Danio rerio: one gene and its partner. The protein of the gene in region 1 interacts with the protein of each later gene in a pairwise test. Links are inferred from orthologs where the notes say so. Each region holds a gene or a part of one and is shown in the gene's direction. Other genes may lie near its edges.

The links.
Region 2: the proteins of lamtor5 (region 1) and tcap interact in binary tests that used the Homo sapiens proteins (3 or more experiments, as listed by UniProt). The link is inferred for Danio rerio from reciprocal best matches to the Homo sapiens genes LAMTOR5 and TCAP.

Annotation. Positions count from the first base shown.
Region 1 is NC_133183.1:26,633,440-26,642,082, forward strand, and holds lamtor5 (ragulator complex protein LAMTOR5), read left to right. Parts: upstream 1-2,931; 5' UTR 2,932-3,057; coding exon 3,058-3,092; intron 3,093-3,182; coding exon 3,183-3,244; intron 3,245-3,870; coding exon 3,871-3,988; intron 3,989-6,430; coding exon 6,431-6,491; 3' UTR 6,492-7,011; downstream 7,012-8,643. UniProt on the Homo sapiens protein: As part of the Ragulator complex it is involved in amino acid sensing and activation of mTORC1, a signaling complex promoting cell growth in response to growth factors, energy levels, and amino acids.
Region 2 is NC_133178.1:19,972,876-19,980,796, reverse strand, and holds tcap (telethonin), read left to right. Parts: upstream 1-3,953; 5' UTR 3,954-4,058; coding exon 4,059-4,207; intron 4,208-4,884; coding exon 4,885-5,275; 3' UTR 5,276-5,822; downstream 5,823-7,921. UniProt on the Homo sapiens protein: Muscle assembly regulating factor. Mediates the antiparallel assembly of titin (TTN) molecules at the sarcomeric Z-disk.

The DNA of each region.
Region 1 (8,643 bases):
ATAACAAATGCAGTACGAAAACTGAGCCAAAAGATGAAAATAATGAAATGAAATCAATCAGAGCATGTCTTTTATGTAAAATGAAATGATGATATATGGCTTTATATTCACTTAATAATTGACTTCATAATTAACATAAAAAATAAAGTATAGAAATAGTATAAACTGCAGTAAACTCCACTATTGGTAGATATAATAGAGTTGTTTGACTGAAACAATGACTCCACATGCAATAAATTTCAAATAAAAGAATAATATATATATTAGCCTTTATATCATAATTATCATTTTATTCAATACTTTATTTATTCAAACACATCTTCAGAACTAAAAGGAAAAAGTTCAATTTGTGCGCATAATACTGGTCTGTCCAACTATCAAGAGCGTAGAATTGGCATGGACAGAGGGGACATTGCCTCACCAATTACTGAAATGTCCCCACCAATAATTTAATAGCCTTCAAAATAAAATAATGCTCTGTCAAGCCTTAGTAACCTAAATGTGCTTAAAGAGTTAAATTCATACAGATAATAGGAATAAAATTGTTACATTTTGTCACATGCCTCTCTAAATTTCTGTACATTCATACCTCCTCAAACCAGATTACAGTAAAATCATGTCAATTGACTTTTGCAGCATAGAATTATTATTATTGTTATTTGTATTATTAGGTGTTTAAATGTTTTTAAAAGCATGAAACAGAATTTGTGCTGTTTAATACATTGGCTCTAGGGATGTACGTCTCCACCAATATCAAGAGCCTATGTGTTACTGTGTGTGTCAGAGAGACACAAAACCTTTTTACAGCTCTATAGATAATATTTGTTCTCATGTAGATGCTTGAAAAAAATGATCCAATATATGTATATACAGTATTTTTAAAAACATTTTCAATTACAGTTTTTCTTGTTTGCTTTGACCTGGTTAAAGAAACTAGGTTCTACTTCATTTTCATTATCATTATCACTATCCCAGCAAGTGCAGAAGACAGGTCTTGCAAATGTTTAAACCCTTTCTCATTGGGTTGACACATTTTCCGCACCATTTTTCAAAAAAGTTAACACGGATGTCATTCAAGCATTCCAAACTCCATTGTTTTAGCTATGGTAACCAAACAGAAACCATCTATTCCTAACCATTAGAAACTACCAAGATCAGTATGAATTCACTGAAAGCACCGGTTTGACACACCTTCACACAAATCTTCATTTAGCAATCAGTCTGCAAACATTAAAAATGGTAGAAGGTCTGTGTTGTTCTGTGCCTGCATGGATGGAGGAGGTCAATAGTGGCTATGTCCTACTCACAATAGATTTGACTGTATATTGGTTTACATGTTTTCTCTAATATTTACAGTATTTTATTACTTTTGTCTGTTTTTTTAACAGTATTTCAGTTTTAAGCCACAGTTTGAAAAAATGTCATGAATTCAACATAAATTTAATAAAGGCATTTCTTATTCTGGATCCAATTCTTTGCAAAAAGGCAGCCCAAATAAAAAGACAACAAATGGCATTGGCAATAGGTTACAATGGCAAGCAATGGTGCACTGATTCACACTGAGGTCTGTATTTTGTATTTTGTTGTTCATTGTGTAATGGTTAATTGAAAGAGCTCATATACTTGTTAGCAAGTTGTGTTGTTTGAAGGTTAAAATAGCTTTTGTTGCATATTTTAAATGTTTTGACACGGCATGTGCATTTTGCAACCAAAATGTGTTATTTTGACCATGAGTGCCGCTGTTTAGGCCTGTGTTTTAACTGTTTTAAAAATGTGGAGTTTCAGTTGACGGCTGCATGAAAGCAATCCAAGGAAAACTGTAAAATAAATTAAGCAAAATATCTTATTAAAAGACTTAAACTGCACAAAAATCAGTAGTCTAAAAATCCATATATATTTAAATGTATATATATACCCACACGCAAAAATAATAATATTGTAATGAAACTATATTTATAAAAATAAATCGATCATCAATAGACAGAAGTTAAGGAATTAAATTAACCCTATAAAAATGATATTCATCAAATATAAGGCTGCATCCAGTCAGGAAAGATTAAACTGTTCTGATGGGCTCTAGAGAGGCAGAAACAGGCAGCTATTATTCTGCCAGCTTATTTGCATGTATATTGACTTTGCTAACCTGATTCATGCTTTGCACTTTGCACAACTTGTGTAATAGTATATTTTATAATATGCTTCGCATATAGTTAAGCAAACATATAGTTAATGGATGTGACAGAGAAAAAATGTGTCTCATGTCAAACCCGGCTCTTAAACCAACCTCACAAACTATAAAAGAGAGTGCTTCAATATCTTGAGTTAAAAATGGAAAAGACTGTCTGATAAAGAGCTTGAGCTCAGACACAATTGACGGTGGTCTTTTATTGTGCGTCTGGTCAGGGGACAAGGTCATTTAGAGAGATACCAACACCGAAGATTCACACGTTCCTCTGGGAGTTCTCATTGACAATGCCAGCTAAATGTTAACCACATGTAGCCTACTTGCTTTTTAGAGCATTGAATGGTTTGTAAAGAATTTATTATTTGTTCAACATAAAAACGAGGATATAGAAGATCTAGACTCTGAATTATAGGTGATCAGTCAATAGCAGTGCTGCAGGAACATTCATTTATTCCAACAGCTGCATATTAATAAATTCAAGCTTTTCATTTTGGTTCAGAAATAGTCACTCTTCTACTTAGCATTTATTTCTCCTGTGGGACTTGTGGTATAATTGGTATTCTTTTGAGAATGTCTTGTGTGTTCATTTTAGTTTAATTAAAATGTTTAACCCAAAAAATTATATTGTATGACTGACTACTTGTCGAGGTTTAGCAGCAAACAAAAGAGGACCATTTACCTACCATCCTGACTTGAGTAAGATGGCGCTAGATCCTATTTGCTTGTTGTCCCTTAGAGGGCGCCGTAGTGTTAAGTCGCGTGTTAAACTGTCAGCTGACATCCCGGAAGTTATCCAAGTAACAAACATCGCTGCCAGTTTCTGAACATTTCGTGTTTCTTATTAGTTTAATAGCCTTATTTAGGACGCTGTTATGGAGGGTGCACTGGAGCAGCATCTTGACGATACGTATGTTTAAAAAGAAACCACTTTCTTTTCTTACGCATGTAACGTTACTCGTTTTGCGTCTTCATTTACTGATCTCCTTTCTCACTCTAGGATGAAAAATCCAGCTATTGTTGGGGTTTTGTGCACAGACGCTCAAGGACATAATCTAGGGTGTAAGTAATTTTTATATTTTCCTTAATACTTCCCTTAGTATAGTTTTCCTCTGGTGACCATGATTTGCTTGGTTTACATGTACTGGGTTTTCACTTGCAACAAGAGGTTAATATTGCTTTTAATATTTACACATGTGTTGAAGGTATGTAAAACGTTTTGAATTTTTATTAGTTTGATTTGTTTCTCAAAACAGGGAACGGGTGTCTACTGTGGACAACTTTATAACTGTGTTATTGACCAACTTAAAGTTAACTGAAACAATGGTAAACAAAAAAACATGGTTAACTGGGAGAAAATACAAGCCTATTCAAATGTAATTATGCAAAAAAAATGTAAAGTAAAATTAAATGATGTATAGATATAGTTTGAGTAGTAAAATCTATAATGGCATGTGTAGTATTAAAAATATTAATCTGATAAATTAATTCAACTTGAGCATTTTAAGCCTGCTTTTTCAGTGTATTACCATGTGCAAAACAATATACAATTTAAAACTTTTCAACAAAATATAGGGTTATAGAATTGTGCTTTATATAGATTCTCAGTTGACTCTTTTCCATTTGGTTTCCAGAACTTGAAAATATACTGTAATTCTCAATGACATTACAAATATTTTAATCTCCAGGCCGGGGCTCACTATCTGATGAACATGGAGGAGTTGTATCTGTACTGGCCAAGCAGGCTGCTTCTCTAACCAAAGATGCCACCGACTGTCCTACAGTGTGCCTGGAGTCTGACTGTGGGTAAGGAAAGCTTCTTGACCAGCATCTGTCTTATTTCTATGTATCTTGAGAATTTTTTGATTTGAGAGACAACAAAACAATCTGCAGAAATCGATGACATTAATTAAGAAAGTTAAATGAGGGAAAGTCAGTTAAACAACAATCTTTGAAAGTCATTCATCCCATTATACCTTCCCTCTTCCACACACACCAGTTGTCACTAAAGTGTATATATAGTGACGTGTAATAAGTATTGAAACTATCAAATTGGCGTGTGACTTTCTCAGAAAGTATTCCATTCATTTTAATTCATCAAGGATTAATATTTTGTGCTGGTCATTTGGTTGCTTTAGAACTGTCTTGGATCAATATCACTCAAAACCACCAATAGATGGCGGCAAGTCTTAATGAGTGATTCATTGAATCATTGATATTTGTAGTATGGATATAATTATAGAGAGGCATATGATTTCTTATGAGTTTTTGGGGGTTTATTATTTTAAAAAAAGCACTATTATCAAGTAAATGTTTTTAAGTAATGGTTAATTTTTTGCCACTATCATTATGGATATTCAATCAAAAGTAATGAAAGCAATGGAACCATTTCAATATAATGCATGGCATATGTATTACTAATTAATAGATGTAATTCATCTTTTTTTAAAGTTAATGCGGATGGGTTTAAACAAAGTAAATCAATTGATTTTAACATTATAATTCCTGTACACAGTAGTTAATAAAGATTGAACATTTAACTAAACGGTTTTAAAAATGTCTGCACAGCCACAAATTTGTTGGCAATATGCTAAAAGAATGTAACTTGCCATTAAACAAGAACAACGAAAAAATAAAAGGCGCTCTTTTTTTTTTTTTTTTTAGCATTAATTTCTCACCCATGACTTGTGGAATTGCTATTCTTTTGAGAATGTCTTGTGTGTTTATGGTTGGCAGATTCTTAAGTTGACTGAACTTGCCACCAGCTGTGATTTTTAGAAACTGATATACCTGGAGTAAGCACCGTCTGACCTGGGATAGGGAAGAGCAGGGCACAAAGTAACACTTTTTGGTTTTGGCCAAATAATGAACAAAGTAATGGGCTTAGACAAACCATTTTTTGTACCAACAACACACAAACTGTCTCCTACAGTTTCTGTGCAGTATTGCCAAAAGTGCCAGGAGCAAAAATGTTACTATTTGCCCCAGCAGTGGGGCACGTTGTAACAAACAGAGGGTAAGTTGTAACGCATGCTTACAAAGGCAGATTCCACACAGTTAATTTAATTTCTGTTTACTTTAAATAGTAGCTATATTTCCTCAGTACTTGGCTCAATTTATTTTGTGTTATACATAGCACAGCATGTTTATTTACTTATTTATCCACTTAATGAACACATTTGGATTTTTTTTTTGCATTATTATAAAATGCGTTTATTTGCATTATTAGCAATAAAACTAATTTTTTCTATTAAAAAATATATATTTTCTATAAAAAAATCATGTTTATTTAAAAAGTTCTCAACATTACATTATCAAAAATAAAAAATAAAAATATTCAGTTAGTTTAATTGGTGTCCAACAGTGTGTGGCTTAATTGTAACACCCTGTTACAACTAACCCTGCTGTGTCGTGTTTTCTTCAAAACTGACTAGCAGTCACTGTCTTTTTACATCTTTCAAAATGGTTTCATCTTTTAGCCTAGAAGATGGTAATCACAGCAATATAAGATTTTTTCGTACATGCTTTCACAGATGTTTTTTTAAGTAAAACAAATTTGCTGTAATAAAAAATACTGCAAACTGCTGGAAAAATGGTTTCTGTGTTTCTCGTCCAATTTTCAACAAACTTTTTCAATAATTGGCAGGAAGATGTCTGCCGACGCTGTGGTGAAAATTTTGGAAGCATGCCATGGTTAACCCTGAGCAAAAACCTTAAAATTGTTACATTTTACCCCACGTTACTTTGTGCCCCGCACTCCCCTTATCTATTTAGAGTTCTGGGTATATGTGATTGTAAGTTAGCCTTGCTTTCTGGAATACCCCTCTGTTTTGCTCTGGCTTTGTATATAACTACTTTTGCTGGTGAAAGGGCAAGAAAAGCAGGCAGTATTATGTTATGTCTGAAATGTAACTTAATTTTAGCTTTGTACACAAAAATCAATATCTATTTGTGATCATGCCTATGCACTGACATTTAGGTAAATGGCACTGTGACTTGTGTGCTATTACCCAAGCAACTCGTTTGTTATAATAAAAAAAAACAGAACAATATTTTTGGCTTTCATAACAGCATATTGAGTCAATCTAAATGCATTCTGACAGGCTTCACTGTGTAGTGAATGCTTTTGGTATCTCAAGATGTGTTTTAATTGTAGTTTTGCTAACCAGGTGATAATCTCAAATCAAACAGCAGCTAATTTTAATCTTAAGTATTAAATGGGAATTCTATGTCATTCTGTCATTGCAGGAACATCTTGGTGAGAAGACATGGAACAATTACACTGGCTGTGCATAAGATGGCATCGTGAAATCTGTTGGTCTAAGTTTTTTCAATTTTAAAGATCATTAGTATGCGTTTGATAAGCTTCTGCTGTCAATTGTCGAAACATAGAAGCTCTATGGGTGTGTGAAATCTTGTCTTCCATCATATCAGAAATCGTCAGATGTTTGTTGTCAGTGTTTAATCTAATTTATTTTCCTATATTATTACTTTCTTTCAACCATAAAGCACACTTTAAATGTCTTCACTGCTTTTTTGTTCAAACAGTGAATAAATGCATTAAGGAAATTCACGTGGTTGAGTCTCTGTGGTTGCACAGTTAAGAGAGTTTTAGTTGAAGTAACACAGTGTGTTCAAAAGGGGGCAGCAATTGTAATTGAATCACCTTTAAGAGTATCTATGGTGAGTAACAGTTTATATACATGAATAACAATTAAAAATCAAATGTCGAGACAGATCAACCCTTCAAATTAATTATCATCATCATCTTGGTCAGTAACTACCAATAATAAAAGCTGTGTAATGTAAACTAGTAAAGCAATTTTTTTTAATGAATAACAAATTCAAATTATATTATATTTATATTGTATTATATTTTAGATTGCATTGGTTTGTTGTGTGCAAATAGATGCAGGCAATTATTTTTGTGTGTGTCACTTGTTTGCCTTGGATAACTCGTTCTGCAATAAAGCATATGAGGAAAATTTGAGGGAACTCGGGGTTCCTGAATTTTTTATCAGTCACTCAGACCTGTCATAAAGTGTTCTTCTGAATGCATGTGATGACTCTGGATAACAGTTAACAGCAAAATACCTTAGCTCAGATCTTGACTGTAAAAGGTTCATCATTTTCACTCTAGGGTCAATATAGTTAATCAACCAAGTCTTAATTTTTCCAAAAATTACACCAAGTACGCAGCATGAATGCCAAAAGAAGAAATTGTTTCCCCCTCAATTATTTTGATATATTGTATCTTGAATGCATTGAAATGTTTTGTATGATCTGAATGTGTAAAAATAAAGTACCAAAATAGTACTGAGAGCATGGGGATGCAACATAATCACCATTGTAGTAAATGTTTAACTTGATATTTTTGCATATTGAAATGCCATTAACAAATGTTCAAGCTTACAAAATTTATGAATAGCAGCTCTAAACAGTCGATTAGTTTTTTCCTCAAGCAAAACGAGTGCAGTTTGTGTGCACTTTAATTAAAACACACGTTTTTATTAGTGCCTTTAGGGATTTGTCAAACATTAGAGATACTACCTGAATACCTAAACATTCATAATTTGACCTTGAAGCAACAAAGCTTGGTGCTTTTTACCTCTTTCGAATAGCCACAGTCCAGGAAAACCTCTGAAATTAGTTCCACTTCAATACTTGGCTTGTAGGTTCCGGTCACATGGTCAATAAGTGCACTAGCGGCAGGTCGTTGGCTCTGCACAACCTGAGCGCATTGCATCCAATCTGTGCCGGTCCCAGGGGTCTGAAGTGACCCCCCCGAGACACTCAGACTGGGGGCCAAATTTTCAGAAAACATAAGAAATCAAACGCAGGGAGTCCAGCCATGTTCACGAATGACTTTGATAAGACTTGCCGCCTCAGAGGAGGAGCTGTCATCGGGAAATCCAAGGATGTTGCCCGCAGCTCAAGTGCCGGAGCGCGCATGAGGAATCATCCACACCAAATCAAGTCTTAACAAGTGAAATCTGGAATAAACTGACTTGACTTTTAGTGTTTCGAGAAATATGGTAAGTCTCGTCTCCACCCTAATGTTTACGTTTATGAAATGTTCGAATATTTACATAATTAATTTGCTCGTTTGCAGACAATTTTGCGTTGTAGTATTAATTTTGTAGCTTATATTATTTTTTCCAGACTAAGCTTGTCATTTCTTTCACAAACTACTGTTTTTTTTTTTGTTGGATGTTAATTTTAAAAGCTGATTTAAAAAATAATTGTTGGAAAATGGATGACAAAAACAAAGTTTAAACTTTTAAAAGCTTGAAGTTGAAGTTAAATAAAATAAATATATCGATTAATCACTGCTTTCTCAAGATAACAGTTCTTTGAAACTTTTGTGTGAATTAAATTTGTATTCTGCTTATTTACTAGCCTGTCAGATGTGTTTACTTTTAAAACTAGTTTAATAGCTGAATCACAGTAAGCTTGAAAAG
Region 2 (7,921 bases), on another chromosome or scaffold:
AAGGTCAGGAGAGGGTTTTCTTCAATGTCAAAAATCATAATTTATTGGATTCAAATGAATGTTTCGATTCACAGAATTTTGTTATCCTCAATGCAATGCAAAAGTTGCATTACGGAGATGTGCAACAACTTTCATTTCCTGACTTCAACTTATATAGGCAGCTGATATTAACAGGTGGAGTTTAGTGAAATTCGTCATTCATTGTCCAGTGCGCCATTGGTCACACCCCAGACACGAGTCCTATTTTTGTATGAATTTTCTGCACAACAATAAAAACACAAGATTTTCTGTGTACTGTGTTCAGTTTAACATCTTTCTTTAGACAGAAGAGCAGCATGTATCTACTTCTGCAAAAATGCTAATTAGTATGCACAGCATCTCACACACAGCAGTAGAAGTTCAGTTAATATATGACCCTTAAATGACCGAAACAATTATTCGTTTAATTTGTTTGATGAAAAGAAAAAGAGACAAAAACAAAATAATACATTCCTTTTTCCTAACACATTGCTATTGTATCTGTATCAGTGGATGATGAATGATGTGTATACAAATTCTTGTATTTTGGAATTACTTAAAATTAAGAATAAATAAATAAATGACACAAAATACTGACAAATTCTGCATCTTGTCTGATTCATTCCAATAACATATTGCAGTTTTAAACAATATATATTGCTATTATAAACAGAGATTGTTTTACACAAGAAAACAATGTAATGCCACAAGTTGTTAGTGTTTTTATGTGTCCTAGTGTCTTTAAAAAAAGCTATAACTTTTATAATACATTGATATGCATATTTACATCTTGCATAAGCATCCAAAAAACCTGTGAACTTCATATGCTTGGCCATAAACAAATGTAGCGCATACTGTATGTCATGAGTGATCTACAGGAACGGCTTCATTACTGGAGTGATGTGACGTGGTTTCCTGGCTTTCATGCTTGTGTTCATGACTGGCATTACATTTCCATACCATAGTGTGCTGAGTGGCCAGATTGCATAGAGGGGGACTGTAGAAGAGTGAGGTCAGTTCCTGTAAAGTCCCAGTGCGTCACTGACAGAGCAGTCAATGACAGACAGGGGACAGAATGTGTGTGTAACATGAGAATCTTGACCGTCCACATCCTCTGTCCACACAGCGCTATATTCATCTGATGAGTGTACACAGAGCCAGAACTCACTGAACACATGCTCTGGCCATGCTTTTTAATATTAACTCTATGTTTGAAGTACAGAAAAACACATTGATTTAACTATTATTGACATTATTATTGATAATAATAGTATGTGGCCAGTGGAAGGTTGTTACAACTTTCCAGCTATACTATGTTACTAATAAATGCAGCAGACTTTTATATTTAAGCAATGTTTCTGTAAGAGATTACCAGTATAAAAGAAGATTACCAGCAGGGAACAACTGCCGCCACATGTTTATAATCTCATGTCTGTTTCCAGATCTGAACACTGCTTAGTTTCCATTGAGAGACTTATGATGTCTGTTAGCAAGGTCATTGGAGAAACAACTGTCACAATAATACACAATGCCGTAGAGATTTTGATGGAGAGACAGAACAAGAACAGATAGAAAGACAGACAGAGCGATCGTTAGATAGTGCTGATAAATACATAGATAAATCTGGCATCTTTTCACCATAAGATCATATTGATACTTATAGCCAGCAATTCATTATTTCATCTAATACCAATATAGTGGAATATCTATCATTATAGAAATGTAATGTGCTTAAATTGCAGAACCAACAAATTCAACCATATATAACATGAATATTAAATTGAACTGGAAAAGAATTGCAGAATCTATCATCAACAAAAAAGCACTTTATTTTTTATTCAATAATATAAAAAAGTAAATCATGTTTGGTCTCACTTTGTAAATACAATCCATTAGTTGATATTCCATTTATTAAGCCATAGTTTAATACAGTTTATACATTTTTTACAGTCACTTTGGTCCATTTCTCAGATCAGAATTGAAATTCTGTTCAATCTTCACATCAGTGTGGTACTTCTGCAAATCGAAAAAGCAGAATCTCATTCCTTTGATCAAATTGCAAATGCTTGCATACATCCATGTAAAATGATTATGTGCAATTCTCTGATAAAAATTATTGTCATTATGTAATTTATAATATTAATGTATTATTTTGATCTCTGTTTTGACCCCATCACATTAAATCGTTTGTTCATGGCATAAGTCTTTACATGCAAAATGGCTAAACACGTTTTAATTTGACTATTTTTTTTCCTAAATCTGTTTACAATTGATAAGTTTCTCCCAGGTGATCTTGACTTTTTCTAATGAAGGTGCTTCTCAGAGGAGATTGTCCAGTGTACACATTTCTACTTTTGTTTTTTCTTTGTGCTGTTATTTCCAGCCTGATCTAACGAGAAAAGTATTTTATGTTTTGTCAGTTTAGTCGTACGAAATTGTATGATTTGAAAAAGGAGGCGTGGCACTTAACCCCACCCCTTAACCCAACCGTCATTGGGAGATGGGCAAATCGTACTAAATTGTTCGAATAAGATCATACGAATTCATACGAATTAGCCACTAAATGAAAAAGTTACGAATTGCCGTGAGATTGTGTTGGTTTTTTCATCACAATGACATGATCTGACAACAAATTACGGTACAAACAGCAAAAAAAGCATCAGAAAAACCCTTTACAGGTCACATCAAAAGACCCCTTCAGAATACACTATTATATTGACAGCATGGCTAAGTAATTTGACTGTCATATCCGTACACAATGACACAACATGTTCATTGACATAGAAACTTCGTTTTAAGAGATGAACTAAGGTTTTTGAGCAAAAGACTGGGTTTTGCAGATAATCCATGGTGTTCTGCTATTTGTATGTGTTGGTTTTGAGAAATGCACTTACTGTTCTGCAAAATTTCAATACTGATCTGAGAAATGTACCAAAGCGACTGAGAAAAACTGTATTGGCATAATCACTATATGGTGGTATTGATAACAAAGCTGGATGGGTGGGTGGGTTTTACAGCTTAATTTAAAAATGTAAACTTATTGTAGTTTTATTATCCATGGTTTCATGGTGATATCTATGAAGACAGGTGAAAAGACACATTCTCTGAAATTATATAGAGAGAGACAGACAGGTAGGTATGTAAGAAGATGGATGAATGGATGGATGGATGGATGGATGGATAGATAGATAGATAGATAGATAGATAGATAGATAGATAGATAGATAGATAGATAGATAGATAGATAGATAGATAGATAGATAGACAGAATGATAGATAGATAGATAGACAGAATGATAGATAGATAGATAGATAGATAGATAGATAGATAGATAGATAGATAGATAGATAGATAGATAGATAGATAGATAGATAGATAGATAGATAGATAGATAGATAGATAGATAGATAGATAGATAGATAGATAGATAGATAGATAGATAGACAGAATGATAGATAGATAGATAGATAGATAGATAGATAGATAGATAGATAGATAGATAGATAGATAGATAGATAGATAGATAGATAGATAGATAGATAGATAGATAGATAGATAGATAGATAGGCAGGCAGGCAGGCAGGCAGGCAGGCAGACAGACAGACAGACAGACAGACAGATAGAAAGATAGATAGATAGATAGATAGATAGATAGATAGATAGATAGATAGATAGATAGATAGATAGATAGATAGATAGATAGATAGATAGATAGATAGATAGATAGAATGTGTCATGGAAATATGAGTGGTTGGGGATTTCTCAGGTCTTATATCCCTATCCCAGCGCTGTGTTAGAGAGTGTGTGTATGAATGTTTGGATATGTGGGTGTGTGAGTGTCAGATGACATATGTGTAGACAGTGTGTACAGGGTGATTCCATCAGACAGAAATAGCTGCAGAGTTGTATAAAAGCCTGAGACACACACTCCAGCGGACAGAGCAAAAGGAGTCCCTCGCTCACACTCAACCAGGACAAGAGACAGAAAAAAAGCACTGAATATACCAACTTGTAAATCAGGAAAAATCTGAAGCTGAAGATGCAGGTTTGCTCAGTCCTGGAGAAGAAAGGAGGCTGTGTGGTTGGAGCCGAGCTCAGCTGCAGCGTCAGGGAGGAAAACCCAAATAAGAGAGAGAGTTACACCGCTGACTGGCGCAGCATCAATATGAAGACACAACCTGAGGATCGGTGAGAAAATCATATTTTTGTTGTGATTTCTAATAAGTAATCATGTAGTTATTTGTATTATACTACTTAAATATTAAATATTATTTGCTTTTTAAAGCATGTGTTTCACAAAAAGGCTGTGCTAATGAAAAATATGTATATTAATGATTTAAACAAGATCAAGCAAATTAACAGAAATCAATAAAAAGATTAGGAACAAGTTAAATTTATTATTAATCCTATGCAGTTTTTCCTCACCAGTAGGCTACATTTATCATTTAAAGGTATAGTTGACTCTAAAATGAAAATGTTTTCATAATTTTCTCACCCTCAAGTGGTTATAAACCTTAATGAATTGCTTTCTTTTGTTGAACAAAAAAGAAGATAATTTGAAGAAAGCTGAAAACCTGTAACCATCGACTTCCATTGTAGGAAATATACATCCTATGGAAGTAAATGGTTTTCAGCATACCTCAAAATAAATTTGTGTCTAACAGATGAAAGCAATTCATAAAGAAACTCAAACAGAAACAAGTTAATAAAACCAGAATTTTCTGTGAAATATCCATGCATCTTTAGACATTTTTAAAACAACTTAGATCATTTATATTTAGTGCATCTTAAATTAATATTAAACACATAAAAAAATATCAAATCTTCCCTCTCATTTATAATTCTCCATGTTTCTCTCTCTCCAGCCAGTCGATGCTGATGTCAGACGATTCTCGGCGAGAGTCTCTATCCCGTTATTGGCAGGTGCGTCCTCTCCATCAGGCCTGTCCGTCGGGTGTGCGCAGAGTGGGCACTGTGGATACGGGTGTAAGAGAGCACCAGCTCTTGCCCTACAGGAACAGCCTGCCCCTTCCCATCTTCAAGCCTGCAGAACTGGGCGTCCGCCTGGGTCGTGGAGCTCCACACACCCTGGAGGATCTGCCACCTGTCCGCATCCCTGACGGAGTTTGTCCAGACAAGAGAGCAGTGGAACAGATCACCAGAGACCTGCCGCCTGTCAAACCCATGCGGATGGAGTTCGCCAAGGCACCCAGAGCTCTGGGACGATCAATGTCTCAGGAGGCCCAGAGAGGCTGAAAAGCAGGAAGACAAATATGAGTCAAAGACTTTATGGACGTTATTAAATAATGAGGCAATCAGAGGGAGAGAATCAGAGGGATTAAGAATGTAGAAACTGATTTTAGGAAAAGTAAAACAGCAAGTTTAGTGAGTGAAATAATGATAACAATCATAATGAAATAATATGCAAATGATGAAATGTTCATAAAGGCTGGGAAGAAAGAAAGATGATGATGATGATGATGATGATGACCTCGATGACAAGCCTAAAGGTTTTGTTTGGTGGGTTTTGAGTTGTAAATAGGATCTGCTTGTTTTGTATTGTCAATGTTCGAAGCACTTTTAATTGTAAGGACACAGGTTCATTTTCTGAGCTTGTGTTGATGTTTTTTTCTGCATGTCGTCAGGGTTGTTCATGCAAAAAGATAATTAAGCAAAAGAGAAAATTATTTATTTTTGTTAAAACTTAACGCCAAATAAGAATTGCACTATTTATTGACTGTTGATAATTGTTGACTTGTTGAAAGCTGATAATTACTTTAATAAAAGTTTTATCGGATCAGACCTGTTTTGTGTTTCATTACAAGAGAGAAAGAAAGAAACTTGTTTAAACAACAAAGCACAAACCCCGCCCACAAACAATTCTTGACATTTCATTGGTCATTTAAGTTTGTTTATTACAAAGCACTGAACAAATAATAACCTCAAACCTAAAGTTATTAATAGATTAATTAGTTAATTACATATTTTAGATATATAATAGATAGATATATGTATATATAGATATATTTATATTTATAATAGATAATATAATATTTATAATATGTATATATAGATATATTTATAATAGATAATATTATATTTATAATATGTATATATAGATATATTTATAATTAATAATATTATATTTATAATATGTATATATAGATATATTTATAATAGATAAAATTATATTTATAATATGTATATATAGATATATTTATATTTATAATAGATAATAATATATTTATAATATGTATATATTGATATATTTATATTTATAATAGATAATATTTTATTTATAATATGTATATATATATTTATATTTAAAATAGATAATATTATATTTATAATATGTATATATTGATATATTTATATTTATAATAGATAATAATATATTTATAATATGTATATATAGATATATTTATATTTATAATAGATAATATTTTATTTATAATATGTATATATTGATATATTTATATTTATAATATATATATTTCTTGTGTTTGGAGGAAAAATGCATGTGTGGAGTGGATTTTTTTTACATCAATTATTCAGATTGGCATGGATGAATATGATCATTTGAGGAACATGTTAACAATGTGAAAATATATCTGAACAATTTACACTATGCAGAAAACCATTCAAATGGGGGAAATAGTATTTAAGAATCTTAAAGCAAATTTCAACCCTCAATTCACTGGTCAGTATGCCATAGTTGAGAGGATTGATTCGGAAAGCAGTATGTCCTGGTGCAAGATTTTGAAACCAAAGATAAGCAATAGAGTCTGGGGTTGTGCTGAGGGGTACAGTGCTGAATTGATTTACATCATACATCTCTGACAGGAAGTTTTTTGTCAAGATTGGTAACTTTTCCTCGTCTATGGCACCGTTAACGTGTGGTCTTCCGCAAGGCTTGATTTTAGCACCTTCTCTCTTCTCTCTATATAGGTTTTATTTTCAAGAAATATGGCCTGTATTTGTATCTTTATGCGGACGATACACAGATTTATCTGTCAGTCAAAAAGGAAAATGACTCCTCTGTTGTGAACTCCCTGTCACTGCACCTGGAGGAGGTAAAGGCATGGCTTTCTGAGAATTTTTTATTTTTAAATGAGGAGAAAACAGAGGTTATTGTTGTTTGTAAACGCCCCAGGTTTGGCAAAATGGAGGAGTTTAAATCACCCCAAGTACATATCCTGGGCGTTGCATTAGATCAGAACTTAAAATTTAATAAACATGTTTCAAGTGTGGTTGGAAATAGCTTTTATCAACTTCAACTTATTTCTAAAATTCAATGAAATGAATAAAGTCTTCCCTCACTTCACGTTCTTGAGAAATTGTCATACATTCTTTTAGAACCTCCCGGTTAGACTATTGCAACTCTTTCTATTTTGGGCTGCCTCAGATCGATCACCTATAGTGCAAAATGTAGCAGCTAGATTTTTAACAAAAAGCCTGAAATATGCATGCCACTCCCATTTTAAGGACTCTCCTTTGGCTACCGGTGAGACAAAGAGTCAAATTTAAAATCCTTCTCTTTATCCTAACACTTGCTTGTTCCGCTGATCAGTTTCTATTAAAAGTCCCAAAGGTCCACTTTAAAAGCATTCGCTATAGCCAGTTCTTGGCTTTGGAATTAAAAATGTCTTCATTAATGCAAATTTTTAAGTCTAAATTAAAGACTTGTCTATTTTCTAGGTCGTTTCAAACATAAGTCCCTTCTACGGGGGGCCTGCGGCCTCGTTTTTAATCTTGTTTAGTGTGGTCAACTGTGGTGGCATCTTTTAACTAGGTGGGATTATTTAAAGGGTCAAATACTTTCTTGTTTTAGGCATTGAAACCAAACTGTTTTTGTATAATCTATTTTACATATTTTATGCTCTCTTTTACATTATGTGCCTA